Bombyx mori: one gene and its partners. The protein of the gene in region 3 purifies or fractionates together with the protein of the main gene of each other region. This does not show direct contact. Links are inferred from orthologs where the notes say so. Each region holds a gene or a part of one and is shown on either strand. Other genes may lie near its edges.

Region 1 (11,594 bases), on a different chromosome or scaffold from region 3:
ATTTAGAGGAGACTTGCCAGAAGGTTTTTCAACCAAAAATCGTTATGACTGATGATAGCAGCGCAGAAAGGAATGCCTTACGAACAGTATCTCCAAACAGCAGATTAGGTACTTCTTTGCATATTTCATGTAAATCAAGCTTTTTGGCGTTGGTTGTGGCAAAGCGAACATGACGTTATTAAAGAAGATCGGCAATCAGTTATGAAGAAATTCCGTACTGTAATATATGCCAACACAATGCAAGAAGCCGAAATTAGAATGTCTGATTTATCAAATGAGGAGAAAGTTAAGAAAAATAAAAAGCTTAAAAAACATTTAACAAGTTTATGGAATCGGCGTGAGGAGTGGTGTTTAGCATATCGCTCTAATATTCTAACACGAGGGAATAACACAAACAATTACTGTAAATCCTCAATAAGAATTTTTAAAGACGTAGTACTGCAGCGCTGTAAAGTGTTCAATATGTGCGCGTTAGTTGACCTTATCGCGAATACCTTTGAACACAAGAAAAGGTTGATTCAGTTTGCCAATGGGCGGGCAAGAAATCTTATGTTAGCGTATGAAAAATTTTGCCAAGCAAGTAGTAGTATTAAGGATATTGTACACATGGATGACAATACCTATTTCGTGAAAAAGAAGACTGATCTGTATGTTGTGGACTGTGAATTGGCAACATGTGACTGTCCGTATGGTGCTGGGGGCCGATTTTGTAAACATATCTGCGCTGTAGAAAGAAAACATGGGACTGTACTTACCACATCGCTACATTTGAATGACTGTGATCGTCAACAATTTGCAAAATTCGCCCTGGGTGACCAGTTTTTACCGTCGTTCTTTAAAAATATTACGGGCACAAATAGTGAAGACAGCCAAACTGACTCTATTACACCAGATGATGTTGTACCAAACACTTTTGAACTTCCAATAAATCGAGCGGAAAACAGTGTAATTATAAACAATGAAAACTTTGACACTGCTATTCAAAATATTAAAGCTCAGTGGCAAAGAATTACTGATATCTTGGAAAAGGATTCAAATGCTGCATACACAAACATTCTTACAAAGTTTGAATCTGATTTGTCGAAGCTACAAACTCCATCGAGTATTATATCATTTAGAGTTGAAAAAAATGTCGCACGAAAATCTCGAAAAATTAATGTACAACCAACATCGCTCGCTCGCCGCAAAGAAAGGTTTACCATGCAGTGGAAGGATTCAATCAGGACGACCAGCCAAGTCAGAAACGGTGAAAAGAAAACGTGTTCATAATATTGCATCTAATATTGATGATAATGAGCCTCCTGCCAAAAAACATTAATTTTATAAAATTACTTAATTATATTTGTATAAGTACCTACGTTGATTGCCTGCAATACAATACCATATTCATACATCTTTGAATATATGTAGATATATTTTGATCCTAATAAAAGGTTAAAGACTTTGTTTGAGTTTTCCTGCCCATTCATTAAACAACACAAAAGTGCCTTCGAACAAACACGGATTTGTGGCGTTGGAGTCACTAGAAGTCTTATCAGGTTAACGTTGGCTTGCATCTAATGACTTTTTTTTTTTTTTTTTTTTTCCTACCTAAGCTGATAGCCTTGAGAGGCTATGTCAGCGTAACCCTAACTTTAGTAGGTGAGCTCACGGGGCTCAACCTGACGATGTTGCTAACACGAACCCTAGCAAGAGCCGTGTTTCGCAGAATCTACCACCGGATCGGAAACGCGACCCACTGAGAAGATCCGGCGAGAAACTCAGTGGGCTGTGTCTGAGAGTTAATTTACTCGTCGAGCCCTTCGTCGAAAGCGACGGGTTCGACGAGAACGGTGACCGGTGCTTGAAGTACCTAGAAGCACCGTTAGTGGATCGGGAGCATCCGAGATGACGTGTTTTGGGCGACGTCGACTGCTTTCCATTCTGTCCGCAGGATCGGGAATGTAGTTACCGGCGGCCACGATGAGAGGGTTCTCGTGTCGTGCCGCTTTATCGAAGTGGCGCATTGACGCCGACTGTATATACTTACTGATGGACTCTAAGTCCAGGTCGTCATGGAGGTCGACGTTCCTGACGAACCACGGGGCTCCGACGGCTATCCTGCAAAAACGGGATTGAATGATTTGGAATGACTTTAAGTGAGTGCGGGCCGCGTGAGCGAACACTACACTTGCATAGGTCATGACGGGGCGTATGCAAGTTTTGTAGAGTGTCACCTTATTTCTAAGGGACATTTTACTTCGCCTACATATCATCGGGTAGAGACGTCCTAGAATGAAGGCGGCACGGTCGCGTACCGTCTTGATGTGGGGGCGGAATGTCATCCTACTGTCGAGGGTGACGCCTAAATATTTGACCTTCGGGGCCCACGGTATGGGCTGGTCGAACATCGTGATTGGGCGAACGGCGGGGGCGGAGGTGTTGACGCGCCTAGTCGGGAGGGATGACGTTTTATACAAAACATGCCTTTTTATACCTGCAGTTGGTCTTGCAAACTGCAGTGAGTTGAGGGAGCAATTTTTGGAGTTTGCTGTTGTCGTTTTGTTTCAGCAGGCAGGTAAACTTATCATGTCTTATGTGGTATCATTGAATAGGTATTGAACTATCCTTTAACCTTATGTTAAAAAATATATGTATTTTTTTAAATAAAAAGAAGTAAATAATATTTTTCAAAAAATGTACAGATGTGCGATTTCATTGCACCCGAGTGTAGATATATTTTGATCCTAATAAAAGGTTAAAGACTTTGTTTGAGTTTTCTTGCCTATTCATTAAACACAAAAGTGCCTTCGAACAAACACGGATTTGTGGAGCTTAATCAAGGCGCATACTTGCAAACCCGTGCGCGATTGGAGGACGCGTACCCTGAATTGAACACGTGTTTAGAAGGGCAGTTGGCGTTGCAAACCCGTGCGCGATTTGAGGACACGTGCCTTGAATTGAACACGATTTTGTAAAGGAAGCTAGCGCGACAAACCCGTGCGTGTTTCAAGGCAGTACTGCCTCCTAATGAACACGGAAATGGAAATACGCTACCCGGTCGAGGGGGGTAACGGACCGGGTTATGTCGGACTCCGGCGCCTCCTGGCCTGGCCTCCTGAGAGGAAGAAGGGGAGAAGAGAAGGGCCGAGGTCCTTCACCTGCCCCAATTTCTCATAGGAGACTACGCCTTGAAAAAGGCGCGCGAAGCACTTACCCCGCAGAACGACTACCGACTAAACCCCATCGAGCTCCACCACACCGACTACACGAAACTTACGGTACCGCGATGCGCGCCGAAAGTCTCGCCTTAGGCGGTACCCGTACTAATGTTAAGACGGGATTTCATCCCCGGGAAAATCCCGTAGTCGTCGTGGCCTAACGGATAAGACGTCCGGTGCATTCGTGTTGAGCGATGCATCGGTGTTCGAATCCCGCAGGCGGGTACCAATTTTTCTAATGAAATACGTACTCAACAAATGTTCACGATTGATTTCCACGGTGAAGGAATAACATCGTGTAATAAAAATGAAACCCGCAAAATTATAATTTGCGTAATTACTGGTGGTAGGACCTCTTGTGAGTCCGCACGGGTAGGTACCACCACCCTGCCTATTTCTGCCGTGAAGCAGTAATGCGTTTCGGTTTGAAGGGTGGGGCAGCCGTTGTAACTATAATTGAGACCTTAGAACTTATATCTCAAGATGGGTGGCGCATTTACGTTGTAGATGTCTATGGGCTCCAGTAACCACTTAACACCAGGTGGGCTGTGAGCTCGTCCACTCATCTAAAAAATCTGTCTCTGTAATAAATTAACTTTTTAAACAAGATTTAAATATAAAACAGTAAAATTGCTCGTGTTTTGGATATAAAACTGCAAAAATATTCGTAAAATATCGAAAACCGAATCAGAGCACATCACTTTCCACCTGGTCTTGTCTGCCCTACCCCTAGAGTGTATATAAAAAACCGGAGGCGCGGAGGGAGAGCAGTCCTCGCCAATATTAGTTAGTATTTAAAGTATTAAGTACATTTTGGCAAAACTAGCTTCACATATCATTAATATTAATAAATTCAGTTGTCAGTCCTAAGCCTGAGAAAGCATGAAGGATTGTTTTCATTTAAAAAAATGTATTAAAACCATTTCATATGTTATAACTGTTCCTATAAGTGGACATATTCTATTTAAAACATTATTAAACCTGTTGCAAAACAAAACGCTGTTATATTGGAACAGGCTACTGGAACTGTTCTTTCGCTGGAACAGGAACAGGTGGAACAGGTCTCTAATTTCACCTGTTACAGACCATCCCTAGTTTGGACAGGCAAAGGGAGATTAGTCGATTTAGCAAAGGATTCTGTAATGGGAACTATCACGGAAAAAAGATTGCTCCAAAATCGCGAACAGTAGTTGGCTTATGTAAATTTTAACACCACGTTGCATGATTGAAAAATAATACCCACTAGATAAATTTTCCATTCTTACTTCTCAAATGAAAATAATTACCTGTGTCGAAACTATTCCAGCCTTCACACTTACACAATTATCACCTGATCAACTTTGACTACCGTGGCCCCGGCACATCTTACGTTCTTCGATAGTCTACCTACCTACTACTTCGATAGTATACTTAAGTGTCAATAAATTCCCACTATTTTACTGGAACATCTTTAATTTATTTCATCTTAACACGTTTCATTCCATTTAGTTTCATTAAATTTCATCCAGAGCATCCATTAGTCACGTCCACTGAACTCTCAGTTAATAATCCTTGTTTTACTGAGACGATTTTATTTCATCCCATTGAGGGAGTCCGTATAAAGTCCCTTCTTTATTTCGCGGGAAAATCGTGTTTTATGTAATTAACACCACACTTGAAACAATAGGAGTTTTATTGTTGCAGCGGCTTATACAGTTCTAAGTTATACCATTTTTTTTTTTCGTCCTTTAAATATTCAGCGGTAAAAAAAATTTTTTTGGGTATTTTATGTCCAGCTCAACTAAGACCTTTAGGTCATGTCTTATTTTAATTCATATTCTTAATTTTATGAAAAATTATATAATGGAAAGAAGTGAAATGCAATGAAGATGATTAATTTGAGACAATAATCAAGTAAGATGAAATTAAATATAGTGAGATGAGATGATATGGGATGAAATATAATCTCAGTAAAATGGTGGTCATTTAATGAAAGGACATGGGCCATTTTCGGCCCAGCTACTCGTGCCCTCAAGGACATTAATAAAATATCTATAGAAAAAAACATTTCATTTTTACATACTTATTATAAAATTTAAGGGTATTTTAATGGTGGGATAATCAAAAGCATAAATAAAAAGAAATACTTAAGCATGATTAAGCTACATTGATAATATTGAAGGAGCTGCCATGGGTAAAATATATTTATATTTTAAATAATTCATATTAAATCTTCTTAAAGAAAACAATGTATTACAAAAAACTAGCAAAATATATTAACATATTTAATCGATAAATATAAATAATAGATAAGCTGATGATGATGTTCGTTTAGTGGGGCGTGCAATGTATGGTCCATGTCCTTTTTTCAGTGGACTTTTTGGAGGATTCCGGGGAAGTTATGTTCAGCGGCTTTGTTGCATTTTCCCACATTTGTGAACTTTCACAGATATTAAACAGTTAATAAATCACCGTTATTACACATTTAAACCTGAAGAAATACTAAATCGACAAAATAAAACAAATCACACAACTTCACTCCTCGCGTTCCCGCCAAAAAGTCCCGGACTCCCGGCGGTAAAAAGGTCCCGTGTCACAGACTATCTTCTTTTTCCCACCTCTTGTGCGATCCGGCTTACGCATCATAAAACATCCTAGTTTCATATAATGTCACTCAAATTTAAAGACTAACATTAGTTAAGTTCATCTCATTTAGCTTCATATGAATTCTGATTTATCAGATTAGAATTTCTACGTGCTCTTTACGTAGAAATTATATTATAGCTGGACTAGAAGGTCTTGTAACCGCTGGCTGTAAGCCAATTGCAATATTGAAAAATTAAGAAGAACAAAAACACTTCAATTTTATTATCTACTTAGAGACTCGGCTAAAGATATTTATTTCAAATTTAAGTAATAAGTTCGTAATGTCCAAAACTCCAATAAAAGAATTGGCTATCAACTTTGTACCTAGAGGTAATTATTTACATAGAGTTTGATTTATAAACTATTATGGTTACGTTGCTGGGTATCAATATCACTTATTATCAAGTGGGCTGTGAGTTTGTCTGCCCATCATCGATTAAGAAGAAAAAGTTTAACAAACAAAATTTCTGTTGTCCATGTCGATTGAAATAGTAAGTAATTTAATAAATGATATTATTTCAGAGATTACAACTCCAAATAAAGACCAACCAGGCTTATCAAAGACTGTATTTTCACATGTGTCTTCGTTTCATAGTTTGTTAATTGATTGGGTCAAACTAAAAGATAAAGGTTCTAAGTTTTGTAAAGGGATCTCATCAGTGAAACTGCACGAGTATAATGATGATTATTATCCGCACCTATTGAAGCCATTGACTGAGGGCTTAGTTGAAATTATAGATAGCTTTCAAAATATTATCGAGGGTAAGTAAAATGATGTATGTTAGTCTAACAATCAACTACAATATTGGAGTATGTGAGACTACTTTTAATAATGTTACAGTTTAAACAATTTAATGGAATGGAATATACATTAACTTTCTAATCAATCTAATTCTAATGCAAAACTGAACTATGTCATATTTAAATGTTTCATTTCAGGTATAAAAATACTAAAAAATCAACTGGATTCACTATCAAAATTGCAGTCGACTGACCAGCCAGTAATTTTGACATGGTCAGTAGGCCGAATTCATGCTTGTGTTAAAAATACATATGAATCACTCTTAAAGGAGTACAAACTAAAAAAAATTGTGACAGGTGAAAATTATTATTATTTATTGAAACATACTGGTGGTAAGACCTCTTGTGAATCCGCACGGGTAGGTACCACCACCCTGCCTATTTTAGACGTGAAGTAGTAATGCATTTCAGTTTGAAGGGTGGGGAACCTGTTTTAATTATACTTGAGGCATTAGAACTTATATCTCGAGGTGGGTGGCGCATTTACGCTGTAGATGTCTATGGGCTCCAGTAACCACTTAACAACAGGTGGGCTGTGAGCTCGTCCACCCATCTAAGCAATGAATAAAAACAACATGCCCGTGATTACATTAGAATTCTAAGACAAGTATTCCCTTTTTTAAAACCATTCAATTCTATGCAGGCCTCCAAAATAATTAATAAACAAAATAAATAATAATAATTAATAGAAAATTTTTGGGATACAAAACATAATTTTCAGAAAATATCCGGCTTTATTTGCTACAGAATAGATTTCACATACTGCTTCCTGACAACTCTGTGATAACTCAATAATTTACATTTTTATCTTATTGGTAATTTAAGGTAAACATAATTCATCATCATCATCATCTCAGCCTGTCCATTGTCCACTGCTGAACATAGGCCTCTCCAAGTGATCTCCAGTGCAGCCGGTCCGTTGCCACCTGCATCCAACGTGACCCAGCGGTTCTTACCAGGTCGTCGGTCCATCTCGTAGGTGGCCGTCCCACACTGAGCTTGCCAGTACGTGGTCTCCACTCGAGGATCTTTCCGCCCCATCGGCCGTCCGATCTTCGCGCTATGTGGCCTGCCCACTGCCACTTCAGTGTGCTAATCCTACGGCCTATGTCAGTAACTTTGGTTCTTCTACGGATCTCCTCGTTTCTGATTCGGCCCCGTAGAGAAATACCAAGCATAGCCATCTCCATAGCTCGCTGCGCGACGCTGATAATTATAATTATAAACATAATTAATGTATATAATTTCTGTTTTCAGAAAACATAGCACACTGTAGAGATGAAAGCCTCATTGAAGTTTATGTTAGTTCTTGGGAATTTGACCCATATTTGAACATGGAAGAAAATGCTTATTTATTTGCAGAAATTGGTGTTGCTGGAATTTCTTCATTTAAAAAAATAATTTAATGCTCATTCGTCAGTATTGTCTATGTCAAGTCATTTTTGGATGTTTTAAAAGTCACAGACAATTTAATTATAAAGCTTTAAAGGCCTTATGACTAAGTGTAAACTTACTATTTTTATCTTGTACTGTAAATTGTACAATTATTTAGTATAATCCTATAGAAGTTTCAAATACAAAATAACATTTACTGATATACATGAGTGTAGTAGAGTAAAATTGACTGTATCTTTTCTATAAATTATATTGTATTAATTTGTAATAATTAAAAAATATGTAAAAACTTGTGTTTATCTTTCTAATTATATTTAGTAATAGATATAAAAAAATATGAGTAAAAAATCCATTCCCAAACTCGGAACAGTGATAAATTACTACCCTATCTTGGCTATAGAATACCATCTCTCATATTTACCCGTAAGTGACGCAAAAAGCGATTAAGAGAGTTACTGGAGAATGGGCAGCAGGGTTCTCTGACGATCGTCAATCGCCATTTACTTGTGGGTATGGGGTTTATAGGGAGGTATCACCATTTGGCCTATTTTTGTTGGGATGTTATCAAGAATTTCGGTTTAAAGGGTAGGACAGCCATTATACAACACAAATGAGACTGTTAACCTCATGATTTTTATGAGCTCTGGTAACCACTTTACACTTGTGAGACCGCGGGATGGATGTAATATGCTCTGTATTAATCCTGTCCCGCCGTCGCAATAGCCCCGACTGGGCTCCGGCCCGGTCTGGGGTAGGGCACCGGCTGTGAGCGGCAAGAGTTTTTACCGAGGTTTAACTTCCACATACCCACCTGCCGCGCGGTTGGGGATCCAGCGATTTTCTCCACAAGACTTGCTTAGATGGATGGACGAGCTCACGGCCTCTTAAGTGGTTACCAGATATCATAGACATCCGCAATGTAAATGCCGCCACCCAGCTTGAGATATGAGTTCTAAAGTCTCAGTATAATTACAACGGCTGCCCCAACCTTCAGACCGAAACGCATTACTACTTCACCGCAGAAATAGACAGGGTGGTGGTACCCACCCATGCGGACTCACAAGAGGCCCTACCACCAGTCTGAGTTAAATGTACTAATATTAAAATAATAATAATAAGTATAACAGTAGAAATATCTTACAACTTAATCTATGAAAGCGCTTTATATGGTCTACCGGGAAGAGAGTGGGCGATTAACCGTAGAACTCCTCAATTTAACCAAAAACACCTACGTATTGTTACAAAATTAGGTTCATGGTAAAAAGGTTCTGACCTCGACATTCACAATTATTGCCTCTAATTTACATAAGGTCAATTTAAGATGTGATATGAAAGCGAGGCTAGTCGTTGCCACGGCAATCGGACCCAAACAAACCTAAACGAACCACCGACTTAACTAAAATTTAATGCAGACCTTACAAATGAATCTTGATAGCTAACAGAGGTAACTATCTACACGAGACTTAATAATAAACTTAATGGCTCGGTTGATAAAATAGCTAGCAAAAAGGTGGTTGTTATTTTTTTCATAATTCAAACTTATGATCTTTCACTAAAGCGTGACTGTGTTATAATAACTCCACCGATGTACATAACATATTACGCTTTCAAGATAGTATATAGATACAGTCGGTCGGAACTTGTAGTGTAGATACATACCACAGCTTATGTTTTTAATTCTGCGCTAAGTGATCACCGAAGCCCTTTACTGGTGGTAGGGTGTCTTGTGAGCCCTGCCATGAAGCAGTAATGCGTTGAAGGGTAGGACAGCCGTTGTATAGAGCGCTGACTTTGAACTCATATATGAAGGTGGGTGGCGGCATTTACGTTGTTGATGTCTATGGGCTCCAATGACTCCGATGACTTAACACCAGGTGGGCAGTGTGCAAGTCGCTCCATCTCAGCAATAAAAAAAGGAAACCCTTGATCCGTGCGATCTAAGACTCAATTGTATTACATAACAGTTTTCAAATACAAGCACTGTTTCGCGGTAGAAATAGGTATAATATGGTGGCACTAATTACGCCCGCTACCCATTACATGATTAACGGTCCGTCCAAAAATGTGTTTCGGAACACCTATTAACCTATGCAAGATTCCTTAGAACAGTGATTCTCAACCACTGTTCCGTGGCACCTTTGTGTGCCGCCAAATCTCAAAAGTGTGCCGCCAAATTTTGCGAATATATAATAATGTTAATATTATTAAATTATATCATTTTAAAAGAAAAACATTTTAAACAAGAATATATATTTAAAACCACAAAAAAAAAATTATAGTATATTTTAGTTTATTTCGTATATTAAAATTTTTTGATAAACTATTTATGCAGTGTGTTGTAATAAGTAAATAATTCTTTTTATCTTTTTTTTTGTGTGCCGCCAAATTTTGAAATCGTTAAATATGTGCGGCAACAAAAAAAAAGGTTGAGAATCACTGCCTTAGAAATTCAAGATGAAATCGCGGTTTCAGGTTTCTGTAAGTTTTTCCTTATTGGCCGATAAATACACAAAATTCAGCTGTAGTAGATATACAGCTTGTATGTACATAGACACATGGATTGGCAAAACTATTAGGCCAAGTCCAGTGAATATTAATAAAAAATAATCCAACAAATCAATATTGCTTAATAGCAGATGTTGACAATATTTTATTACATACTGTTACGCGCTGGGGCTCGGGATATATAAATGTTTTACCAAGTACAACTAAAAACTGTATTGAACACTAAGACACTTCACAAGCACTTTAAAATTCTCAATTCGCTTCTTCCGCTTCGCTTCAGGTGATCCGTTCGCTATTTCGCTTCGAGTAGTTCCGATTACCTGAATCCCTAGAATCGTCGAGAATATTCCACAAAAGTAGAGTATTGTGTGATTCCGCTATCTGACAAAAGATGGCGTTGTACTTCCCGAGCGTTCTAGATGCTACTAGCCTTCGATATTCGTTCGACTATTCGGCGAAAGGTGGCGTTACCCTTACCAGCGTAACACTTCTTCTTCTTCTGATCAGCCCATGGACGTCCACTGCTGGACATAGGCCTCCCCCAAGCCTCGCCACAAAGACCGGTCCTGCGGTGCCTGCATCCAGCGGATCCCCGTGATCCTCAATAGATCGCGTAACACTACCATTGTTTATTAATGTACTATGGTTAGTACATTAATAAAATAAATAAATAAATTTGTAATATTAAAAAGGTATCATTGAAAGATTTTTATTTCTTTACTGTAGTTGATTAACATTTAAAAAGTCAAACTTCCACAGCGTTTTAAGTCTTTTTTTTATTGGTCAATAAAAAGTCAATGCACATACATGTACCGGAGTAGAAGAAGGGCCAATGACACAATATGGTCAAACTAGAGTTCCTTAAGCTACATGTCATTGTATTTATTTTTGCTTTTTCTAATCTAATCTGCTAATCCGTAATATACTGAAGATAAAGCTTTTTAAATATTTTACATTAATTAAATTATCTCTATATTTTCTGCGATCTGTGTCATGGGGACTACTTTGATAAATTTGAGAACAACCTTACTAAATTTCAGATAATCACGGTATTTTCTTTTTACCACC
Region 2 (11,230 bases), on a different chromosome or scaffold from region 3:
AAAATATTAAAACTTAGCAAAATTAGTATATCCAGGTTTTTATTGCTAGAATCTCATGACTCAAGTAGCACAATGGCATCTAAATTTGTAATGTTTATGGGGTCCAGTAACTGTTGAAGTTATATATACTTCTTTAGGCGCGTTATGAAAAATTGATGAGAGTGAAATTTTACGATGCGCGCGCACCGTGACACAAAATTAACAGAATGAAGTTGCCCACTAAATCTACCGACGTAATTTGGCGGGTCTGAATATAGCCGCAGGTGAACTTTCGCGCATGTACACTCGTAAAAAGAAGTGTTATCAGCATTATTTTTTGTAATATAAATGACAAAATTATTATTTAATATAATTCATACTAAATATTATTAAATTATTAACGTTAAATATTTATTATTAATTATTTAATATCTAAAAAAAAAGGGAATAAATTTAATAAAAATAAAGTATAACTTCTTACGAGCGTACATAAGTACACGAACCCTTTTTTTATACTGGCTGAGTTGTGAGCTTCTGCATTATCAATGCAATAAAAATTTTGCGAGTTTATTGATAAATATTACTCTGGCAAGTTTATATTCCATGAAACTAAAACAACAATATTTTGAATTAAAAAAAAGTGTTTTGAACAAAACAAGTATTTACAATCTAAAATATCACAAGTTACATTAATGTTACAGTAAGATTATGCATACAATCATTCTATAGCACAGTGACTGTTTGTATTCAATAATCTATCAACATCGGTCAGCCAAAATATTAGTCTATCTAAATAGCCATTATCTTGTTTGTAACTCAAGAGTAACAACTGAATATGTTGGTATGCCATTGGTTGCTCCAATAAGTGTGCCAAGTGTACATCTCTTAATGATAGAAGTTTTATAAATATTATGGTAATCATAGTCCACTGAATCGGCTTAAACATTATATTATTTGCTTTCAATTTGAATGTGTTTACCAAAAGACGCACCTCTGTGCTTATGGCCAAACTTAATAAACCTAGGCACCTCAAGATGTCCGGTAGGGTCTTATTTAAATGTTGACAGACTATTCGTCTACGTAATGCATTTTGAGAATTCTTGTCTACTAATGGCAAAGCTGTGAAGTTCTCATCTGATTGTGTGTTCTTTTCTTCAGGCTCTGGTTCAGGTATTTCAGTTTGACCAGCAAAAAACGCCTTTACTTTCAATTGTATTTTCTTGCTTTCTTCCTGTAGTATAGTGTAATCTGGCAGCGGTTTCATTTCCCTTTGCATTGTTTTGGCATCATAACGTTTGTCTTCTAATTCGAGCATATTAAGTTTTCTGCATAAAGCTTGGTATTGATCATAGGCTGTGGAATTGTAGAATGTACCTTTTGTAAAATTTTTCAGATATTCTTTCACACTGTCTTCTTTATCTGATACCATTTCTCTCACTTTCTCTTCGCCATAGAGAAAAATTAATGTGTCTAAAGTAAACCATTCTGCTAGACATTTTTCCACTTCTACAATTAATACAGTCACTAATGGCTTTTTCTCTTTCTTTTTTTCTTGAGATAGAGATGAGCTTGCGTTATTTTGTTCATCCTTTGCACTTAGTAAAGTCAAATCAATTTTCTTCTCAGGTTTTTCTATGATATCTCCGACAATGTTCATTGGATTGTATACTGCTTTTTTCATTTTATCAGTATTTTCAGACTTCACTGATACAGGACAAGATTTTTCCTGTAGATACTTTTGTGTTTGAACAGAATTTGATTCTGAATTTAAGATATAGGATTTCCCTTCTGATGCTTTATTTACGCTGTCTTTATGCTTCATTTCTTTTTCATCCAGTTCAGTACTTTCTGTACTTAATTTAAAGTTTTGTTCATTTTGCTCCTCAGTAGCTTTATTATATACATCATCTTTACCATTATTTGATGCCATATCTCTAAGAGTAGCTTTTACAAAACCATTGGTAACTACGAAAGGCTTGTTTTCAAGTTCTACTTTCACTCTGTCAATTATTGACACATCAATCTCCTGTCCCATGCAACCATCTGCCGAATTCATTGGTAATAAATTAAATTGTGGGATTATCTCATATTCTCTAAACCAAAGCGGGCTTGTTAGCATCTGCTTTTTAATGTGCATGGCAGATTTATAACAACTATTACTGCAAAAGCTTTTTCTAACTGTAATATCATATACTTTGTTCGTTTTCATGGAGATTCGGTATTTTTGCTTCGGTATGTCTTTCTTGGATAATGTGTTCGAGCAGAGCGGGTAACCACATAGACTTATGATTGATCGTTCTTCAATAACATCTTCGAAATGAGACTGGTTTAGGTCTGGTAAGCATTTGAGGAAATAAACTTCGTTTATGCTATTTTCTAGAAAACTTTCAACTATATGTTGCGCTTTTGAGTTACACTCTCGTTTCTTAATTATCGCTTGTTGAATTTGTTCTTTCGTGAGGTCTTCTATTGTTGTAGGTTTTTTTTTAGGAGGCTTCACGTTTGTTTCCATTTTATTCATAAAATTGTTATTTTTATTTCAGATCAGAACCATAGTTATTTTTTTTGGTACAATTTTTCCTTATTAGGAAAGGCAAAAGGATCTAAGCCCATAAGCCTTGTCTGTTCCATGAACCGTAGATAATACACTTAATATATTATGTTAATTCCATGGAGTTAATAAGTACCTACAACGTTAATTCACACAATGCTTTTTCTTTCATGTTAGCAAAAGTCAGATGTCAATTTCATTTCACTCAGAAACTCAGAACTCAGGTTGGGAGTAGGTTACGTGTCTAAATCTATGGTTAGTATTAGATTTTTTTTAAATTGGATTGGGTCCTAGACATGCATAGATTATGTAAATGGAATAGACTGAACTGATTTCCTCAACATATTCTGGTACTATTATTTACCCTGTGCATTATTAATGGCGGTCTGGTTAGTCGTCTCTCAAGGTTAAGCTTTATTTACTAGTTCCTCAGTCCGTCGGACACGTCAGTAAATCTTAAGTCTTTTAATCCACAATTCCGGTAACCATAATGATTTAATTATGAAATCATCAAGTTGTAACCGTTTTATTTTTGATTGCCTTATGCTGAAGCAATTTTAAAATCTATATCAGTAGATGGGATACAGCTCGCCTACTGCTGAATAGTTTTCATATATAGACTAAAGTATGAATGAACTCACGTGGAAATATTAAGCCGAATTGTTTATTTCGAAACGGTTCTTCAACTATTCAGAATAATTCGAAAAGCTTTGGTTTTGTTTGTTTGATTTATCTGTTCCGCTCGGCTGGACAATATCTGTCCGAAACTATAAGCCTACAAAGTTATTACGGATTGGACTGGCGTCGTTTAAGCGTTGGACATGATATTATTTAATAAAACTATTAAGATCCAGGATATACATTAACGGATCAGTAGTATAGTACTAGACAATACTTGCGTACTAGGTACACACATCCATAATGATCCATAGTATTTTAGTCTAGTATTTATTAACAGACTTGTCTATTTGACAATTCATTTGTATGATTTGTATTTTGTATTAATTAGAAATTGCTCTCAGACTCGTCAGTTAGGCTTTAATTTGGTATACAATTTAAAATCATAATTTATAGTCAGATGCAATATTTGTAGCTGACCCAAAAGTGGGTGAAAAAAATTAAGTTTCAAAAGATAAGAGCGCGCCTGTTATGATAAAGTTATTTACTTTTATTTTTAAAATTATCAATGAGTTAGATAACGTTGTTGGTGTCGAACGATATGAAAATTGCATTTGGTAAATAGAAATGGAACGCAGCAATTTGAAGTGGACAATACAGTTTAATTGATAAGTAGTAGGTAAGTGCTACGAACACTGAATCATATTTAAAATTATTTTGAATGTAATGAACTAGAGTCCTTATTGATACCTGTATTTTAAAGCGCTTAAACAAAAATGCATAATTTTTTTTTTTTTAAACTTACAAAAACTTGGTATTCATATGCCAGTCTTATTTTAGTTACAATGTTCTATACTAGTTTTATTTTTATTGCCCTTGTAGGCAGACGAGCATACGGCCCACCTGATGGTGAGTGGTTACCGTCGCCCATGGACTTCAGAAATGCCAGGGGCAGATTCAAGCCGCTGCCCACCGCTAAACTATACTAGTGCTTCACTTAATAAAATTGTGAATTAAGAACATTAAGGATTTTTCCTACTTACAAAGTAATGACTAATGTGAATAATTATTTCTTAATTATGTAATTAAACCAACAAATATTCACTTCACCAGATCCACTAGAATTTCTCCTATTTGATAATATTTACTTATGAAGATTTAGCTTAACAGGCTCTAATTTATTCATAGAAATACGATTATAAAATATATAAAGCAAAACATAAAGCCCTACTTTAAAAACTAGTATATATTGAGAAGTTGAAGCCTAAAATAGAATATAACACAAAGGACCCAAATGGTACATCCCAGTTCATATTACACATATATTAGTTTAAATTTTAAAACATTGAGCGCTACTATAAACATAATTTTCACATTCAATATAAAAATAAACTATTTAAAATTTAAGTATAAACATACTGGAATTTAAAAATCAATCCATAAATATACAATACTCAAATCACCCAGTATGAGTTTATGTAAGAGTGGCCCCAATTTTTGTTTTGTTTTGTAATTGGTGGTTTTCTTAGTCTTTATTAACCAAAAAATCATGGCATTCCATTTTATAATCTTGGTTAATTTAAAAATCCTGATTCTGAATGACTTCATAGCATTGGAAGAATAGCCACTCTATCCTCTCCTCACATTATGTTGATAGTGGCTGAAACAGCTAGGAGAGTGCTAGGAAACTCTGCTGACATGCAATAAATGGTTTATTCTAAGTTCTGCAAATATTGCTGATGTTAAAGACTATTGGTAAACTGAATGCATCCATGTTTACCTATGGCTGTATTAAAAATAAATTCAAACTGAAGAATTGACAAGACAATCACATGAATCATATCAATCACAATGGCCTGTGATTAGTATACAAAATTTGGTCAACATTTTATGAAAGATAACTGTCCATTGTTCCCAGTATTGTTTTAAATTAGATTCTATAAACTAAAAATAGTATAATACAAGGCTTAATACTATCATTCAGCTGCTTGAGAACTACTGTAAGTGATTTTAGTGTGATTCAGTATTTTTAAACAAAATTTGCTATTAAGTGAAAATATTACCCATATTTCTCCTATGGTACTTAAAAATAATAATAAAAAATCCTCATATTGATTTAAGTAAAATAGATAACCTTTTTAAAAAAAAATCTGATTTGAATTATTTTGGATTTGCTATCTGTGCACACACACGCAATAGCCGCTAGAGTCTGATTTGCTTATTTAAAGGGTAAATTTACATTGACATTGAAATATACAACTCTGATGTACATATTTACTTAAGTAAACATTTGAAGAACTGGGTGCTTTATGTCTAATTGCATCTTAGATTTAAGGTATCTTATTTATTTAGAAATTTTATTAAATTATAAGAATTTAGAACAAGAAACACGCAAAACTTATAGAGCTCTATTAAAGAACTGAGTAGTGTGTTCTAATACAAATCAAACAAACAATAAAGCTTCAAAATTTTCTGAGATACTTCTTCTGTTTTAAATGAATTTTATCATTATTTCTTTAAAATCTCACAAATTCATCAGTCTCAAAATATGATTTCCAATTATGTACTATGGATATCGAAAACTGATGTATAATTATATCAATATAATATATAAATTAAAAATGTGTATCAACACCCAGTGACCCAGACAACAAAATTGTTCATCACATGAATGTTTGCTCAAAGTGTGAATCGAGCCATGACCAGCAGTCAGGGTTGCTGTTCACTGCTTCACCAGTTGAGTAGAATGAAGTTAGAATAAATTACTGTTCGACTATAGTAAAAAATATGAAGTTGGCTTTCAAATACCATTTTCCCATCCATCATCATCATCATCATAGTACACCCACTCATTACGGATCCTCCCGATCAATTAACGGTGCTTTTAGATACCACAAGCGCCGGTCACCGTCCTCGTCGAACCCGTCGCTTGCGACGAAGGGCTCGACGAGCGAATTGATCCATAGACACAGCCCACTGAGTTTCTCGCCGGATCTTTTCAGTGGGTCGCGTTTCCGATTCTGCGAAGCATTGCTCTTGCTAGGCATGTGTTAGCATCATTCCGGTTTGAGCCCCGTGAAATAGCTTCTCAAGGCAATCTGCTTAGGTAAAAAAAAACACCCACTTTATTTCTTAGGGTTTGTGAGTCTTTTTTTTTCTTAATATTAGTACTTAATTTGAACCCTGGCTATCTTTCATTCTGATACCCAGCAAGGGTCTCCGCTTCGGCGATATAAAGTGTAGGCTACGCTGTAAAGCTACGGCGGAAACAACTTTAAAAAAAGTGAACACCTCTCACTGATTACTCTAGAGAAAAACCGCTAAGATGCACATGTGGATGTGGTTCGGTTACGACCTCGGAGACTTCCTGTTCTCCGGCCTAATCATCAGCACGCGGTGGGCGTTCGCCCTAACCTGGATCGCGCTGTTCTTTGTGGCACTCCTGTTCGAAGGTTCCAAGGTACGGACAAAGCTTTTAGATCTTGTCTTTTTTTTTTATTGTTTAGATGGGTGGACGAGCTCACAGCCCACCTTGTGTTAAGTGGTTACTGGAGCCCATAGACATCTAAAACGTAAATGCGCCACCCATCTTGAGATATAAGTTCTAAGGTCTCAAGTATAGTTACAACGGCTGCCCTACCCTTCAAGCCGAAACGCATTGCTGCTTCACGGCAGAAATAGGCAGGGTGGTGGTACCTACCCGCGCGGACTCACAAGAGGTCCTACCACCAGTAAGTCCCTCTTAGTAAGCGAATACATTGTAATGAAACGCCAGAGTGTGAAATTTAATATCAAAGATTATTGAACTAGCCGTTCATATTGAACTAATTTCAAAATAAAATTATATGAATATGGCCACTTTCGCTTAATTTATTAAGTAAGGAAAGTTAAATGAATTGACGACAGGGAAGTCGTCCGAGAATTTAGGATTTAATTCGTGTTAATTTCAATAAGTCAAAAGTTTTATAGTGTTTCAAATATTTCAGGTTTACCTAGCCAAAGTGCAGCGCGAGGCACACAACAAACTGTACCCATATAGATCGGATGAAAGACGAAACCTTCTTTGCGACAGGTAATTCTATTTAACAATAGATACTCCCGATCAAAACGGCGTTAGATTTCTGACGAATATGCAGTCCAGTGAGTTTCGCGCCGGGTATTCTAAGTGGGTCGCGATTTCGATCCGGGGATAGATTCTGCGAAGCACTCCCCTTGCTAGGTCTAGTGTTAGCAAATTCTCTTAGGTTGAGTCCATGAGCTCACCCATCCGTCCGATTGTAGTTGGAATAGCCCCTTAGGCTGCCAGCGAATAGGTAGGGGGGAAAAAATGACCATGCAAAATTGCGTTTTATTAGCTTCAGGTACGTTTGGTTTTCGTATAGAATACTATTGTGATCTCGTTATCGAATTGAGAGATTGTGTTCTGTGTGCTTAGTGCGAGTTTTTTAACGTTCTCGATAGCGTAAAAGTTAACTCAAAGTATGGAGTTGGAACAGCGCCCCTACCGGCAAACTTAGGCAAACGTTCCAACTCCATACAAATTTAAGTTCACTTTTACGCTATCGAGAGCATTAAAAACACACTATCACAATTGCGGTATCTATGGGCTACAGTAACCACATCGCATTGGTTGTCAAAAAATAGTTTAATGAAAAAAAACGTGTGAAATTAAAAAAGGTCTATATTTGGTTATCATAATGAGTTATCTATATATTAATACGTGAAGCAAAAACTTTGTATCCCTTTTTACGAAAATTCCGCGGACGGAGGAGTATGAAATTTTCCACACTTATAGAGAATATAGAGAAGAAGTACACAATGCTAATATTTTTTTTAAATAATGCATAAAAGATACATTAAATCAATAAAAAAAACATCACACACACTACATACCATGTATTTGACGCACACACGCATGCGTCATACTATTTATTGTCAAACTTTTGTTCTTGACGTCTGTGGTCAAATTGAGAATAGATTAAACATTGTTTGTCTTTGTTAATATTTTTTATAGTGTAGTCTTGGCGAAATTTGCGATTATAGAAGTTTAAAATACAATCATAATAGTGTACAAACTTACAATTCCAATTGATTATAGTCGAATTTCGACTACTGCGGGACCTCTAGTAATCAAATAAATAACTGGGAACAAATTACGCACGGTCGTCCGGTCCCAAATTAGTATTCCCTGTGTTATGGGTATCAGAGGCTGACATACATATTTACGTTTAAATAAATACATATACATATAGATAATAATCATCCAGACAAAGAGCAAACAAACATGTTTATCAAAATTTTGTTTGCCCGATGCGGGAATTGAACCCACGATCATCGGCGCAACAGTTAGAGGTCGCTAACTACTGTACTATCGAGTCAATCATAGTTAAAAAGTAAAAGTATTATACATAATATATGTATTTTAAAGCTAAACCTTTTGTTTTTTATTAACTTTATTCGATACATTACATCGAGGTCAGTCGGTTTAATTTATTCTAGATCGGGCGTTGTCCGGAACTTGGTATAATGCACGGAAAAATTGTAATTCTATTAGTTTTGTGAAAGTTTGAAACGAAACTAGGTTGGGCGGACTCGTTTAGTTCAGTGCGTTAGTAACACAGAGCGACCTCATTCCTCCAGTTGGTAGGAGACTTTCAACTGTTTGACTACTGAACATCAGACGAAATGGTTCAAATCTATGCAATTACCTCAAGCACCGGTCACCGTTCACGTCGAAGCTTGCGACTCAGGGTTCAGTGAGTAAATTAACCTATAGACACAGCCCACTGAGTTTATAGTCTGATTTTCTCAGTGAGTCGCATTTCCGATCCGGTGGTAGATTCAGCGAAGCACTGCTCTTGCTAGGGCTAGTGTTAGCAACGTCGTCAGGTTTGCGCCGCGAGAGCTCACCTACTCGTTCGATTACGCTGGCATAGCCTCTCAAGGCTTACCAGCTTAGGTAGGGTAAAAAAAACCTTAAATACATGATTTAAGGTTGGTTACAGTTTTGTTTATGTCGGACATTACGTCTCAATGCCCTTGAGGCGGTATTTCGAACCTTAATTATATTGGAATGTCATTGCCCCACAGCTTACATCCTTTATAATATTAATAGCGGTCATGGCCGTTCGCGCCCATACACTTTTACTAATCGAACTAGTTCATGCCACGGCTGTTCAAAATACGTAGTAAAAGTTAATTGAGTTATTAAACAAACGATACACATTCGACGTCAGTAAATTTAAGAATTTATCCTGTGTTACAGGTTTAATCTGCGTTATAAGTTTCTCCTGTGTACAAAATCCTAACTAGTCTAGCTTAAAATCAGAGTAAACTAAAATATGGCATATGGGAAAGTGTACACAGAAAAGAGATTTATTACTTTTGTTTGACACATGTAGAGAAAATTAATATCCGAGCGCTATTTTTAGTTTATCTTTGCCGTGTTCACCGACAGAGGTTAACAGATTTTTTTTTTTTTTATTGCTTACATGTCCCGAATAGCATAGAATTTAAATTTTATTGATAAATAAGGCTTATAATTTAAAATATTGTTCATTAAAATGACATTACGAGTTCGTCACAAGCTTAAATCACGAAAGCTTCAAAAACGGTAAACTAATGCGCGGAAAATTTAAAACTGCATTTAAAACATTCGGTTTTGTCGTTTGCAAATCGATTCTACTTTGATTTCTTATAAGTCTACAACTAGGAAATTCAGTATTATTTACGACTTTGCAAACTATGATCAAAGCAATAACTATAAAAAACATCCATATCATTTGAAGCTTTGCCCAAGGATGAGGCTCATGTTAAGGATTTTTTCTTTTGAAATGATTACGTCCACAATTTTTGAAATCAAATTGAGCGTAACTCAATCTACGATAACAATCATATCATCAACTCTATCTTTATAGTTGATCTGTAATAAATAGTGAATTTTTCGCTTGAACTACACAAGTATATTATTATGTTTATTGTTGAAATAAAATAAGTAATTATTATTGTAATAAAAGATCACATTAGTTGTTTATCGAGCCATAGTTCTGATCATACATGATTAAGATCGTGTGATATTTGCCGCATTTTAATATTATATTATATTATTTTTACACAATAATGTAATTTAAGGCAAGAAAATCTTTTATTCAAAAACAGACGGTAGTAACAAAATATTCAAATGTCGCATCAGAACTGTAATAAACGTCGGAAATAATAAGAGCAAGATTAAACCTGAAAAATAGTTTCAATTTATTATATTGCTCTTGTAGGTAGACGAGCATACGGCCCACCTGATAGTGAGTGGTTACCGTCGCTGGTGGTCGTCAGCAATGCCGGGTCAGGGTCAAGCCGCTGCGTACCGTTAATTATGCCTACAATACGCGAAAACCGAACCAAAACTTTATAAATTTTCAATTATAAATGGTATATGAATATTTATGTTCATTTTGTTATTGCCTACCAGTCTACCTGATTTATATCTGGTATTAAGGATGCTTTCGACTTTTCGTCTTTAAGAGAAAGGATACCGATTATATATTCAACCACACTAATAAGAATTTCACTCTTTTTTTTTTCCTACCTAAGCTGATAACCTTGAGAGGCTATTTCAGCGTAACCTTAACTAGTAGGTGAGCTCACGGGGCTCAAACCGAAATGATGCTAACACTGAACCTAGCAAGAGCAGTGCTGCGTAGAATCTACCACCGGATCGGAAACGCGACCCACTGAGAAGATCCGTCGAGAAACTCAGTGGGCTGTGTCTATGGAATTTTACTACAAGTCTAACAATGTAGCGCGCCATTTATTTCGTTAATGTATTTCAATAACTGGCAACACCGTGCGAACGTATTATCTGTGGTGCGAACGATGAGCTTAATGATGACGAGAACAGTCTCACAAAATTTTGGGAGACTGACTATTCATCTTTATCTGAAATACATTTGAATTGTTATTTGCTTAAAGTATAAATTATGAGGCATTTTTTTTATATCGTCTCAGGAATGTCTGACTATATCTACCGAGCCGATGTTCGTTGGGCGTATTTAAGGCTTCTAAGAAGTATGAATAACTGCGATTCAG
Region 3 (11,653 bases):
ACAAAATTTATCAACCATACCTCCACTAAATGACAGCAGTAATCATCTTTGTGCTGAAGCTTTTACACGGGCCCTACTACAAGCTGCTGAGGAAGTTTTTCCTATAAAAAACAATAGTGGAAATGGGTATATTCCATCACCTCCTTGGTGGGACAGTGAGTGTTCTGCTGCGATAGCTGAGAGAAAGATAGCTGAAGAAAATTACAGAGAAAATTCTACAACACAAAATTTTAATATTCTTAGTAATCTTATAACTAAAACTCGTAAATTATTAAAACAAAAAAGATTCAATAGCTGGAAATCTTTTTGTGCCTCAATTTCACCAGAAATTTCTCCATCTCAAGTTTGGCAAAATATTCGTAGATTCAGATCCGCTTTCAAACCTCCAAGGTCTCCTTTCATGGATAGTAGTACAGTTGATTTGTTTCTTGACAAATTAGCTCCACCATTTGTCCCGTCTATAGATAATATTTCTTCTGACTCACAGCCTTCTCTCCTCTCCCAGCATGATAGTAGCGATTCATTCATTTCCTTTAGCCTTTCAGAACTCAAAGGGGTTCTTTCAAGGCTTAGGGACTCAGCCCCGGGTTGTGATGGAATTCCATATTCTTTTCTTCAAAACCTGAACGACTCCTGCCTTTCTTATTTTCTCAGTTTAATTAATTCAATCTTAACATCAGGTAATATTCCTCCATCATGGAAAATCCATGAAGTTATCCCAATACATAAGCCCAACAAACCCATTAATGATCCATCATCATACAGACCAATTGCATTAGCTTCAGTGATTTCCAAAATTTGCGAACATCTAGTTAAAAATAGACTAGAATGGTTTATTGAGAGTAAAGGGTTACTATCTCCTAACCAGTTTGGATTTAGGAAAGGTAGGAGTACGATGGATAGTCTCAGCATTTTTATGACAGACATAAGATTGGCATTTTCATACAATAAGTCTGTGTTAGCAGCATTCTTAGATGTGTCTGCAGCCTATGATAATGTCAACCTTTCGGTTCTGAAACAAAAAATGATTAATTTGAATATCCCACAAATTTTCATAAGTTTCATAATCAATCTTCTCTCTGGTAGAATGCTTAAAGTAATATCAGAAGACTCTTATCAATCCCGTATTGTCTGGAAAGGTTTACCCCAGGGCTCCGTTTTAAGTCCCTTACTTTACAATATATATTCTCATGATCTGGAAGCCTCCCTTAGGGGTAAAGTTAACACACTCCAATATGCAGATGATTTACTCCTCTATGTCTCTGGTGATTCTATTGACAACATGTCTGATACTGTCACATATTCTCTTAAGTTGCTAAAAGTTTGGCTTGACAATAACTCTCTAAGCCTTTCAGTTCCTAAAAGTATTATAGTCTTATTTTCACGTATGAGGCTTCCTCCATCAGTGTCTGTATTTTATAATAACATTAGAGTTCCTGTTAAAAGTGAAGCAACATTTCTTGGGGTAATTTTAGACTCAAGACTTACAGGAAGCCCTCATTGCTACTATATAAGTGATAAATGTGAGAAGATTCTAAATATATTGCGTTGCCTCTCTGGAGTTTGGTGGGGAGCCCACCCTTTCTCTCTAAAGCTTTTGTATAATGCCCTAATAAGGAGTATTTTGGACTATGGAACATTTATACTTGAACCCTGTAATGCAGTAGCTCTCCATAAGTTAGACATTATCCAGTCTAAGGCTCTGAGAATAATTGCTGGGGCTATGCGTTCGAGCCCTATTAACGCTTTGCAGGTCGAATGTTCTGAAGCCCCCCTGCACCTCAGACGACAATTTCTTTGTGACCGGTTTCTATTTAGAGCATTCCAAGTTTATAATCATCCTCTTTACACTAAGTTACGGTCTCTGCTGGAATGTATGGATTATCCGTACTGGGCTCATAAATCGCCGCCATGCCTTATTGTTAGTCTCCAAAAGTACTTAGCTCTTCAAGCTCCTACACATAGATCACAATTCCTTCCAATATTTTGTGTTAACTATGATGCCCTAACTTTAAATCCATCTATTATGTTTGATTTCGGCCTAAGTAAACAAGATCTTTCTATCAATGCCAAATTTGTTGATATTATTGACAGTGACAGCCGATGGAAAAATTGTCATTTAATTTTTAGCGATTCCTCCAAACCCGGTCCCGAGGAGTGTGTGGGGGTCGGCATTTTCCATCAACAGTTTGGCATTGTTCAGAAAATAAAATTGCCTCCAGAGACTTCAGTATTTACTGGAGAATGTTTTGGTCTTCTGAAGTCTCTGGAGTACATTTTAATGATGAAGCTTAAAAAGTCAATAATTTTAACTGACGCTAAAAGTGCCCTCCAAGCCTTGGAACGTTTTCCTTTTAACAGTAACCGAAATAATCATCCTGTGATTATTGCATGTCGTGATTTATTGTATCAATGTTGCATCAAAAATTACACAGTTTCCTTTGCTTGGATTCCGGGGCACTCGGGTATCTTTGGCAATGCCAAGGCCGATAGCCTTGCCAAAGCTGCGGTCAATGATGGAGATTTGGTTCCGTACAAAAACTTTTGTTGTGATTTAGCTCTGCTTCCTAAATTCCAGTTATTGAATTCTTGGACTCACATTTGGCGTTCTTCAAGACAGACTAAAGGTCGATATTACAGCACGATCCAAGTGGATATACCTCCTAAACCGTGGTTTTCAAATCTGACGTTTGGTAAAGCTATCACATCGACCCTTATTCGCATGAGGCTGGGCCATGCATGCATTCCCTTGCATTTGGCAAGGCTTAACCTTTTGCCTAGCGATATATGTGAGTGTGGCAATGACGTTGGGGATTTTAATCATATATTCTTTGCCTGTCCTCGAAATGACCGTTCCGCTTTTATTTCCTCACTTTTGTCCATTAAAATTCCTTTTCCTACTTCAATTTCTATCCTTTTATCTAATATCAATATTGATGTATATAGAATATTAGCTAGTTTCATTTTTCATAATAATATAAAATTGTAACCATTTATGTACTTAGTTTATATAATATATATACCTGATCCTTTTTCCAAATTCCGTTCCAAATTCAAATCCAAAAAATAAATCCATTAACACACTTCCTAACCTTTTTGCGTGGCTGACGCACAAACCGTGCAGGCCAAGAAATGGGAGAAAAAAAAAAAAAAAAAAAAAAAAAAAATCATGACAATACCTCTTTTTTTTTCGGAACGTTCACTAGTTGGTGCTTCGTAAGAAATTTTTGCCTAAGTAATTCAAAATCGACAAACATAAAATAAGAATGAAATAATTAATTTAGAATTAAGTGTAGTCGTACCTTCATTAGAGCAAACCGTTGATCGTCATCAATTCCTACGACCGCGTTCGACATAGGAGCCATATTCACTAACTGTTTATTTTTATTTTGTGATGTTTCCAATTAACATAACACGCGCAACGTGCGTTTGCCGCGAGCTCAGCCGCCGTTGTATATTTGTGTTTAGTGCTAATCTGTGGCTGTCAATTACGCGCAACTTGTAGAACCCTTGTACACTCGTACAGCAAGTCGTAGATAATACACTGCGGCAGGCAAGTGTCGTACTGGCAAGTAAGTGGGTGGCAATTGATCGAATGGTAGCGTACTTGTTTAATAATTATATTATATAGAGTTATGCATAGTTATGATTATATTTTGTAATGGCGACCCACACGAAATATGTATGTAAAGTATGTATCAATATAAAGTTAGGTATACAGTATAGTATACTGTATCTCGCTATGAACGAACATGAACTCTACGTTTTATATAAAGCGTAGTTGAATTTTATAAAAATAACCGAGCAACCGCTAGTCGCACGACTAAGTATTAATTAAAATGCATATTACCTACATAATAGAAGTCAACACTGGGAGATATCTTCACTCTCAGCTGTGCCCTAAATCGTGTGTGAAGGGAACGAATGAAGGAATTAATTTATTACCATAATTTATAGACAGAAATGAGCATGTAGTTAATTAAATTAATAAATAAGTAACTTACTGTACTTATCATCTACCCTTTTACATGTTCAATTAAATGTAATTTAAGGGCTCCTTTTTGAAATTTAACAATACAACTCTTAAAGTGTATTTTATATATATCGTGATTGTTGTCTTTATACACATTTTCCCCTCATATTGGGTCTATCAAGCTCTGGTGAAGTGTATATCTAAAATACCATAAGTGTATATGTTAGGGAGCGACTTGCATTTACATCAATCTGATAAGCTTTATCCACAGGTTAGGTAGAATCTGGCGCCAAGTTCCGTTCAAAAATCCCGTTGTAAACGGAGCGCCAGACTACCGACTGTGTTTACTGTAAGCAGAACGGTTTTTTGAGGTTGCGAAATTTTATTTAATCAAATAATTACATACTTTACGCTTTAAGCTTATATCGGATTCAGAGTAATGAATTGTAAGGGATAATAATGAAGTATACATAAATAGACAGAAATTTATTATTATTGTTATTATTATACATTAAATCAGTAAGTACACAGTTAAATTACAATCCAGTCGTTTTCCTGCTATTTTGATCCCTTAAAAATGAGGACTGGCATGAGCCATGAAAGTCGTAAGTCTAACTAAGCTCTCATGAGAGAACTTGGTTCTAGAACTTAGTATGTATATTATTTCATTATGGTAAATATGACACCTCCTTTCTCAGGCTCCTCATCATGAACTTCTTTGTCACTGCCCTCACCATCAGACTCATAATCATCACTATTGGTGTCTCGGTATGAACCAAACCTTGATAAATCCAATGGCAACTGACTCATTTTGACTCCAGCCATTGAAGCCAGCCTCTCAGCTGCATGTAATGCATTCACCTCTTTAAGACGTAAGTTATGTTCTTGCTGGAGTTTTAATGAGTCTTCTATGGATAATATTTTTGCTGGCCCATGTATTGTAGGAGGAGGTGTGGCAGCAGTCACCTCCCATTTTTTACATTTGTTCTTTCCTCTTTGTATTTCCTTTTCTGGGTTGTGGACATCTGTGTTTGTGGTCTTATGTGGCTTAAACTGTCTCGTTACTTTGGCTTTGGTGTTGTGTTCCGTTTTGTTAACTATATATCTTACGTGGGGGATCTCATCTATCTTGATTAGATCTTCAGGGGTTATCGAAAGTTTTTCAGGTTCTAAAATCTTAATTTTTTTCTCATGGAATGAGTTCTGAGTCAAGATTTTTAGGACATCTTCAGGGTCACTGTCGTCATCTGAATCTAAATCTGTGGATTGTTTAATTGTACCTGTCCATTCTAATTCTTGTACGGATTGTTTGTCAATTCCATTCAGTTTCATATTTTCGAACATCCGACACGCATCTTCTTCCTCTTGCTTCGCTTTTAATTCGGATAAGATTTTATCGTACAAAATCTGTATTTTAGCACCTTTGTCACTTAGTTTAGATATAAAACTTTTATTGTTTAATAACTTAATTTGTCTATCTCGTAGTTCAAGCAACTCAGGAATAGTTTTTAACGATAGATCGGTGATTTTTCCATCGATTTCTGTTTTTGGCGGCGGCGGCAAGATACCAGGTATCCTTTTATTTATCTTGTTCATTATTTATATATTTTCAATTAGTTTTAACGCATTCACATTTTTTAACGATCTTAATTCCTGTTATTACTGTAACATTGACTAATTCTTTTTTTGTACTTACATTTGCAACAACTACTACTACATTCACATGGAATCTAAAAGATTTATATAGGTAAAAATACTAAAAATACTGGATTTGGTTAACTTTTTGTGGAAATAGAAAACACTAGCTGTTTGTTTGTCACTTTTGCCCTTTTTTGTTATTTTGTCAACTAGGACAAAGGAAACATAGCCTATTCAACCTTAAATTGTGAATTCGAACTCATATTGTGATTTAAACAAGAAGTGAAGTGAAATGAAGTATAGTAGAATGCAACAAAATTAAATAGATATAACGTTGGTAAAATGGAGAGAAAGTATATTTCGTGAGATTTGTGTAAGAATTCGAAAAGCCATGAACTTAAATTAAATCCTTTTCCCCCTCATCATCATTATAGTCGGTTGCTCTTGGCAAAGCAGTCGTGGTCATGTGAAATTGTTGTTTATTAAAGCCTTGACAGATGTTTTCCATAATTTGCAAACCCCACTTAACGAGTGCGTGCGCACTCGTTAAGTGGGGTTTTAGTAAAGTCTTTCACCTGATCAGTCCAGCGCATGGAGATTTGTCCACGAGATCTCTTACCATTTACTCTACCCTGAACAACAAGTTTCTCGATAGACTCTGCGGGCCCTACCTATTCGCTATGGAGCTATTCCAATTACGCTATGGCGGGTAGGTGAGCTTACGGGTATTAAACTAAGAGAGTTTGCTATCAATGACCCTAGCAAAAACAGTGCTTCACAGAATCTACTACCGGATCTCGGGATCGCGACCCACTGATAAGATCCGGCGAGAAGCTCATTAGGTTGTGCCTTGACATCGTCCTCTATGATAATGAAAGGAAATAGAGCTTATACACGGAATACTTCTTTGCTGCTTTGAAATTTGCATCTATTGAGTTTGATCTCCAAAATGACCTTCCGCATTTAAAATATCTTTACTTTAAATCAATTAAGTAAAATCAATTCTGCCAAACATTTTGTGTGAGGTTTAGGGCTGCCACATCCAAAACCTTGGGTTTCAAAGAGTGTCGCAAAAATCCAATTTCCATAATGAAAAATAAGTGAAGTGGCATAGATACTACATTTTTTTGTGTTGCCCAGCAGTTGGAGCATCAGGTAATGAATACTCCAAAGGGTCCCACAAACAAGTTCGAAAAGGAATGACGGCGAGTAGCGAAAGAGTCGCGGGCGTACACTCGTGTGTATGCTTCGGGGGGCATTTAAACGGCAGGCTTACCTTACAATAAAAAGTGAGTAGTCTGTGCCTTGCTAAGTTGTTGTTGCTTCTTATTGATGTCTTATCTATGCTTGCTATTTAAGACGTTTTACTGAGGACTTTTTGGCAGGAACGCGAGGGGTGAAGTTGTATAATTTTGTCTATTTGGTATTTCTTCACGTTTAAATGTGTAACTAGATGATGACCGAGCTTTGCTCGTTTTTTTTTTGATGACGCCATCTTGTTGTGTCTTTAAATAGTATTATTATTCGCCAATAGATGTCGGGAAAGTTGATTATTGTAAACACGAATAAAACAAAATTTTCTGAAAATAAATCGTAGCTAGATCGATTTATCGCCCCCGAAATCCCCTGTATACTAAATTTTATGAAAATCGTTGGAGCCGTTTCCGAGTTTCAGATTATACATATATATATATATATATACAAGAATTGCTCGTTTGAAGGTATAAGATAACGGTGATTTATTAACTGTTTAATATCTGTGAAAGTGCACAGATGTGGGAAAATGAAACAAAGCCGCTGGACGTAACTTCTCGGGATCCTCCAAAAAGTCCACTGAAAAAATCTCAGTAAATGAAGGTAAATGACCACCAATATTATATATCATAGATTATATCTCATCTCATATCATCTCATTTAATTTTATCCCAGTTGATTAATGTCTCAAATTAATCATCTTCATTTCATTTCATTTCACTCCATAATACCATTTTTCATAAAAATATGAATATAAATTAAAATAAGATATGATCTAAAGGTCTTAGTTACCAGGTCATAAAATCCCTTTAATAAAAAAACGTTTTACTGATCTGTGGTTAAATATGTCATAGAATTTAGATCATAGAGTAAACACATATTTTAGATCATAATTATCTAGAAAAATATTATGTACACGAGTGAAATTATACAAATTATAAACAATGCGCAAGTCCAATGCTTAGTTAAAATATTATGTAGGAATAATTAGTGTATAAGTTATGTGATCCAAGAATTCTAGAACACCAAGAGATCTAAGAGTAAAGTAATTTAAAGGAACAGATTCAACACTCAAGAGACATGGAAGGAACGGTATTCTAAATAAATAATCATACTTTGCATAAATTTTCATTTATCACCTGATTTTCATCTAACAAGTACCCAAGTATTACAAACTAAAAGTATCATAAAGATCATTTAAATGATAATAATTTGACTCAAATTAATTGTACCACAAACTATATAGATGATTTTATCATTGAAATGAAAACAATGACCAAATGAACATAAATAGCACACGTTTTCTTACTTTATCCTTTTTTGAGGTACAGGATGCTGGGAGCATACACTGGTTGGTTGTACTATGGTGACTCTTTCAATTTAGTCGGGAAATCCAGTTTGATGGGTAGAATGTCTAACATTTTCATGTTTCGCATTTTGAAAGGGACAGTCGAATCCATAAGCTGTATCTGGTTAAATACTGAATGTTTCACTTTGACAACAAAGAATCATAGCAGACAATTTTTTCAATGGCCAATATGTGAAATTGGCTATATATTTAAAAAATATACTTGAATTAGTAGTGTAGCAGTTTAAAGATTTTTTTTGTCAAGAAGTAATGCTTTTCAGTTTGAAGGGTGTCATGTTGTATCTATGAGCTCTGGTCACCACTTAATACCAGGTTGGCTGTGAGCTCATTTATCTCTTTACTTATGAGCTATCAGTTCAGTATCAGAAAACTTGTTAATCATTCATTGTGGAAATCATTCTTGAACATTTATGAACTGAGAAAAAATTGTATTAAAATCCTTTATAGTCATTTCATTGAATACATGGTCACTAGCTGCTTTGCCAACTTTGTTGTTTTATCTGTAAACATACTGGAGACCTGATGTTGAATGGTCAAAGTTACTCATAGATGTCAGCAAAGCCAGCTAAACCACTGTCTTGCTAAATAAGGCACAGAGACCTGAATGAGAATGAATGTCTCAGAAGGCAATGTTAATGCTCCCAACACAGTAGCAGAGACAAAGTGTGAAGTGAGTGTGTTTACCCATTAAAATAAAATAAAAAGTAAATACAACTCTGATGCTACTGTATTAACGAATTCATAAAAAAAGATTATTTATCATGGTGACTTAAAACCCTCTTTAAAACATTACAATAATGTTTAACCAAATTTAAATATGCTGTACAATACCCTATGTATTTTATTTTCAGGTTCCATTACATTTGGACCCAGTCCACCAGAATGAAGTCTGTGACAGAAGATTATGGATCGGGAATCTAGACCTGAGAGTCAATGAGTATGTTTAAAATATTAAAGTAATTTTCAAAGATAGCTATAAAAAAGAGAATAAATGTCTCTATATAATTTCATAACATAAAATTATAAAAGAGTTACATTGTTTTATCTTCTCATTTTCCTCCACCTTATCCCACTAGGTGAGGACGGCACAGCTAATTTTTCTCTTCCATTCTCTTCTATCAGCCGTCATCTCAACACTCACTCCTCTCTCTTTCATATCGTCAATCACACATATCCATGTCTTCTTCGGTCGACATCTTCTCCCTCCCTCTACCTTGCACTACCATTTCCATACATCTTCTAGTCACATGCATCTTCACTTTTTTTTTTTTTATTGCTTATATGGGTGGATGAGCTCACAGCCCACCTGGTGTTAAGTGGTTACTGGAGCCCATAGACATCCACAACGTAAATGCGCCACCCACCTTGAGATACAAGTTCTAAGGTCTCAAGTATAGTTACAACGGCTGTCCCACCCTTCAAACCGAAACGCATTACTGCTTCACGGCAGAAATAGGCAGGGTGGTGGTACCCACCCGCGCGGACTCAGAAGAGGTCCTACCACCAGTAATTACGCAAATGATAATTTTGCGGGTTTCATTTTTATTACACGATGTTATTCCTTCACCGTGGAAGTCAATCGTGAACATTTTGTTGAGTACGTATTTCATTAGAAAAATTGGTACCCGCCTGCGGGATTCGAACACCGGTGCAACGTTTCAACACGAATGCACCGGACGTTTTATCCTTTAGGCCACGACGACTACATCGTTCTCTCTACGCATCACATATCCATACCACGCTAACCGTCCGCTCCTTAACTTCTTGCTTACCGGGGCTACTTTCACACTTCCTCTGATATACTCATTCTTTTCCATTTCTTTATCGTACCAATAAAAGGCAATATAATAAAACATCAATTTTTGTTCATTACCGGTATCAATTACTGAAACTGGTCCGCGTCTATGGGAATATTGAGAAGTTCGACATGCTGTTCCATCGTAGCGGACCTGCAGCCGGACAGCCGAGAGGGTTTGCGTTTGTTACATACAAATTGAAACAAGATGCTGTTAAGGCAATGAACTCATTGAATGGACAGTTACTAGGCTGCAAAAGGATATGTGTCAAATTTGCTAAACACACTGCTGTAAGTATCAATTAACTGTAACAATTTTACATATTATATTAATGCTGTAAAGTTGTTTAAGTTCTATGTGTAGTGCATATACTTTGTAGTTATTTTATGACCTAACCTTGTTGGTGAACTACTCGATTCAATCATGAAAAATTGCAGATAGCAAATTTTGTATTTGCAACCATGATATACTGGGTGGTTTTATAAATGAATTTGCAATGTGCCAGAGGCGAAATTTAACATACTTAGAAACGGGTATTTAAAAATACTACCTAGTCAAAATTTCATAAATTTGATTTTCAAATCTCTCAATATTTAGATTATTTTGATGACTCTTTTAATGAGATGAAAGATGAAATCAATAGTTACTTTACAAAAATTGATTGGTTTTCGTTATCATGCTGTCTTGTCCTATAGTTTGTAATGAACATTGTTTACTTAGCACATTTGTCCTGATTAGTTGTGCGCGCATGCCTTTTGTTACAATTTTTATTTTTTTATTGCTTAGATGGGTGGACGCGCTCACAGCCCACCTGGTGTTAAGTGGTTACTGGAGCCCATAGACATCTACAACGTAAAATGCGCCACCCACCTTGAGATATAAGTTCTAAGGTCTCAAGTATAGTTAGAACGGCTGCCCCAACCTTCAAACCGAAACGCATTACTGCTTCACGGCAGAAACAAGCAGGGCGGTGGTCCTACCCGCGCGGACTCACAAGAGGTCCTACCACCAGGGGAAAACCAACAAGCCCTTTTCTTTACTTGTTATTTATTGTGTATATTTTCTTTTTAGCTTGTAATGTGTATCGTGTGCCTAATAAATAAATAAACTAATAACAAAGTAATAAAATGGTTGGCAAACAAGTATGATAAATGGTTCAAGACAAAATCTTAAATAAATTATAAAAAATCTGTTAAACTAGTAGTCAAATCCGAATTCTGAACTACTTTGCTGAAAAAATGGGTAGGATGGTGTTGCTACTAATAGACTGCAGACACAGTGTGATACAAATTAGCAACAAATTGCCGTTTTCGCTTTAATAATGGTTCCTTTAAACCTGTATCTCGCCCTCAAAGAATAAACATTCACACAATTTACTATCAGCACTTACAGCTTCTGACATGAGGATTTAGAAAATAATTAACTTAAAAAAATATTCACAGGATGATCAAGATAAACCAAAACCAGAGCTAGGTATACCGGCGTTGGCTGGTGCAAAACCAGAGTTTAAACTCAGCAAAAAGACAGCCATCCAATCCATAGAGGCTAAACTCAAGATGATGGAGAATATGAACCCCGGTGATGACTTTGTGATCAATAAATTAGCCGCTAATGAGACTCCAA

What was found.
Region 1: the proteins of uncharacterized protein LOC101743276 (region 3) and DNA-directed RNA polymerase II subunit Rpb4 purify together in Homo sapiens (affinity purification with mass spectrometry; 3 studies listed by BioGRID and IntAct, counting the BioPlex papers as one, with this or other methods). This does not show direct contact. The link is inferred for Bombyx mori from reciprocal best matches to the Homo sapiens genes POLR2M and POLR2D.
Region 2: the proteins of uncharacterized protein LOC101743276 (region 3) and putative RNA polymerase II subunit B1 CTD phosphatase RPAP2 purify together in Homo sapiens (affinity purification with mass spectrometry; 3 studies listed by BioGRID and IntAct, counting the BioPlex papers as one, with this or other methods). This does not show direct contact. The link is inferred for Bombyx mori from reciprocal best matches to the Homo sapiens genes POLR2M and RPAP2.

Annotation. Positions count from the first base shown.
Region 1 is NC_085114.1:9,602,919-9,614,512, reverse strand, and holds the start of DNA-directed RNA polymerase II subunit Rpb4, read right to left. Parts: upstream 5,771-11,594; 5' UTR 5,661-5,770; exon of another isoform or gene 5,652-5,660; intron 4,854-5,651; 5' UTR 4,487-4,853; intron 1-4,486. Other genes in the region: uncharacterized protein LOC119628842, read left to right, coding at 6,107-6,155, 6,348-6,587, 6,765-6,923, 7,884-8,032. UniProt on the Homo sapiens protein: Core component of RNA polymerase II (Pol II), a DNA-dependent RNA polymerase which synthesizes mRNA precursors and many functional non-coding RNAs using the four ribonucleoside triphosphates as substrates.
Region 2 is NC_085121.1:1,512,598-1,523,827, reverse strand, and holds putative RNA polymerase II subunit B1 CTD phosphatase RPAP2, read right to left. Parts: upstream 2,501-11,230; coding exon 698-2,500; 3' UTR 546-697; downstream 1-545. Other genes in the region: uncharacterized protein LOC101736188, read left to right, coding at 2,783-2,785, 6,459-6,608, 7,135-7,220.
Region 3 is NC_085116.1:3,259,926-3,271,578, forward strand, and holds uncharacterized protein LOC101743276, read right to left. Parts: upstream 6,896-11,653; 5' UTR 5,570-6,895; coding exon 4,634-5,569; 3' UTR 4,445-4,633; downstream 1-4,444. Other genes in the region: SEC14-like protein 2, read right to left, coding at 3,303-3,365.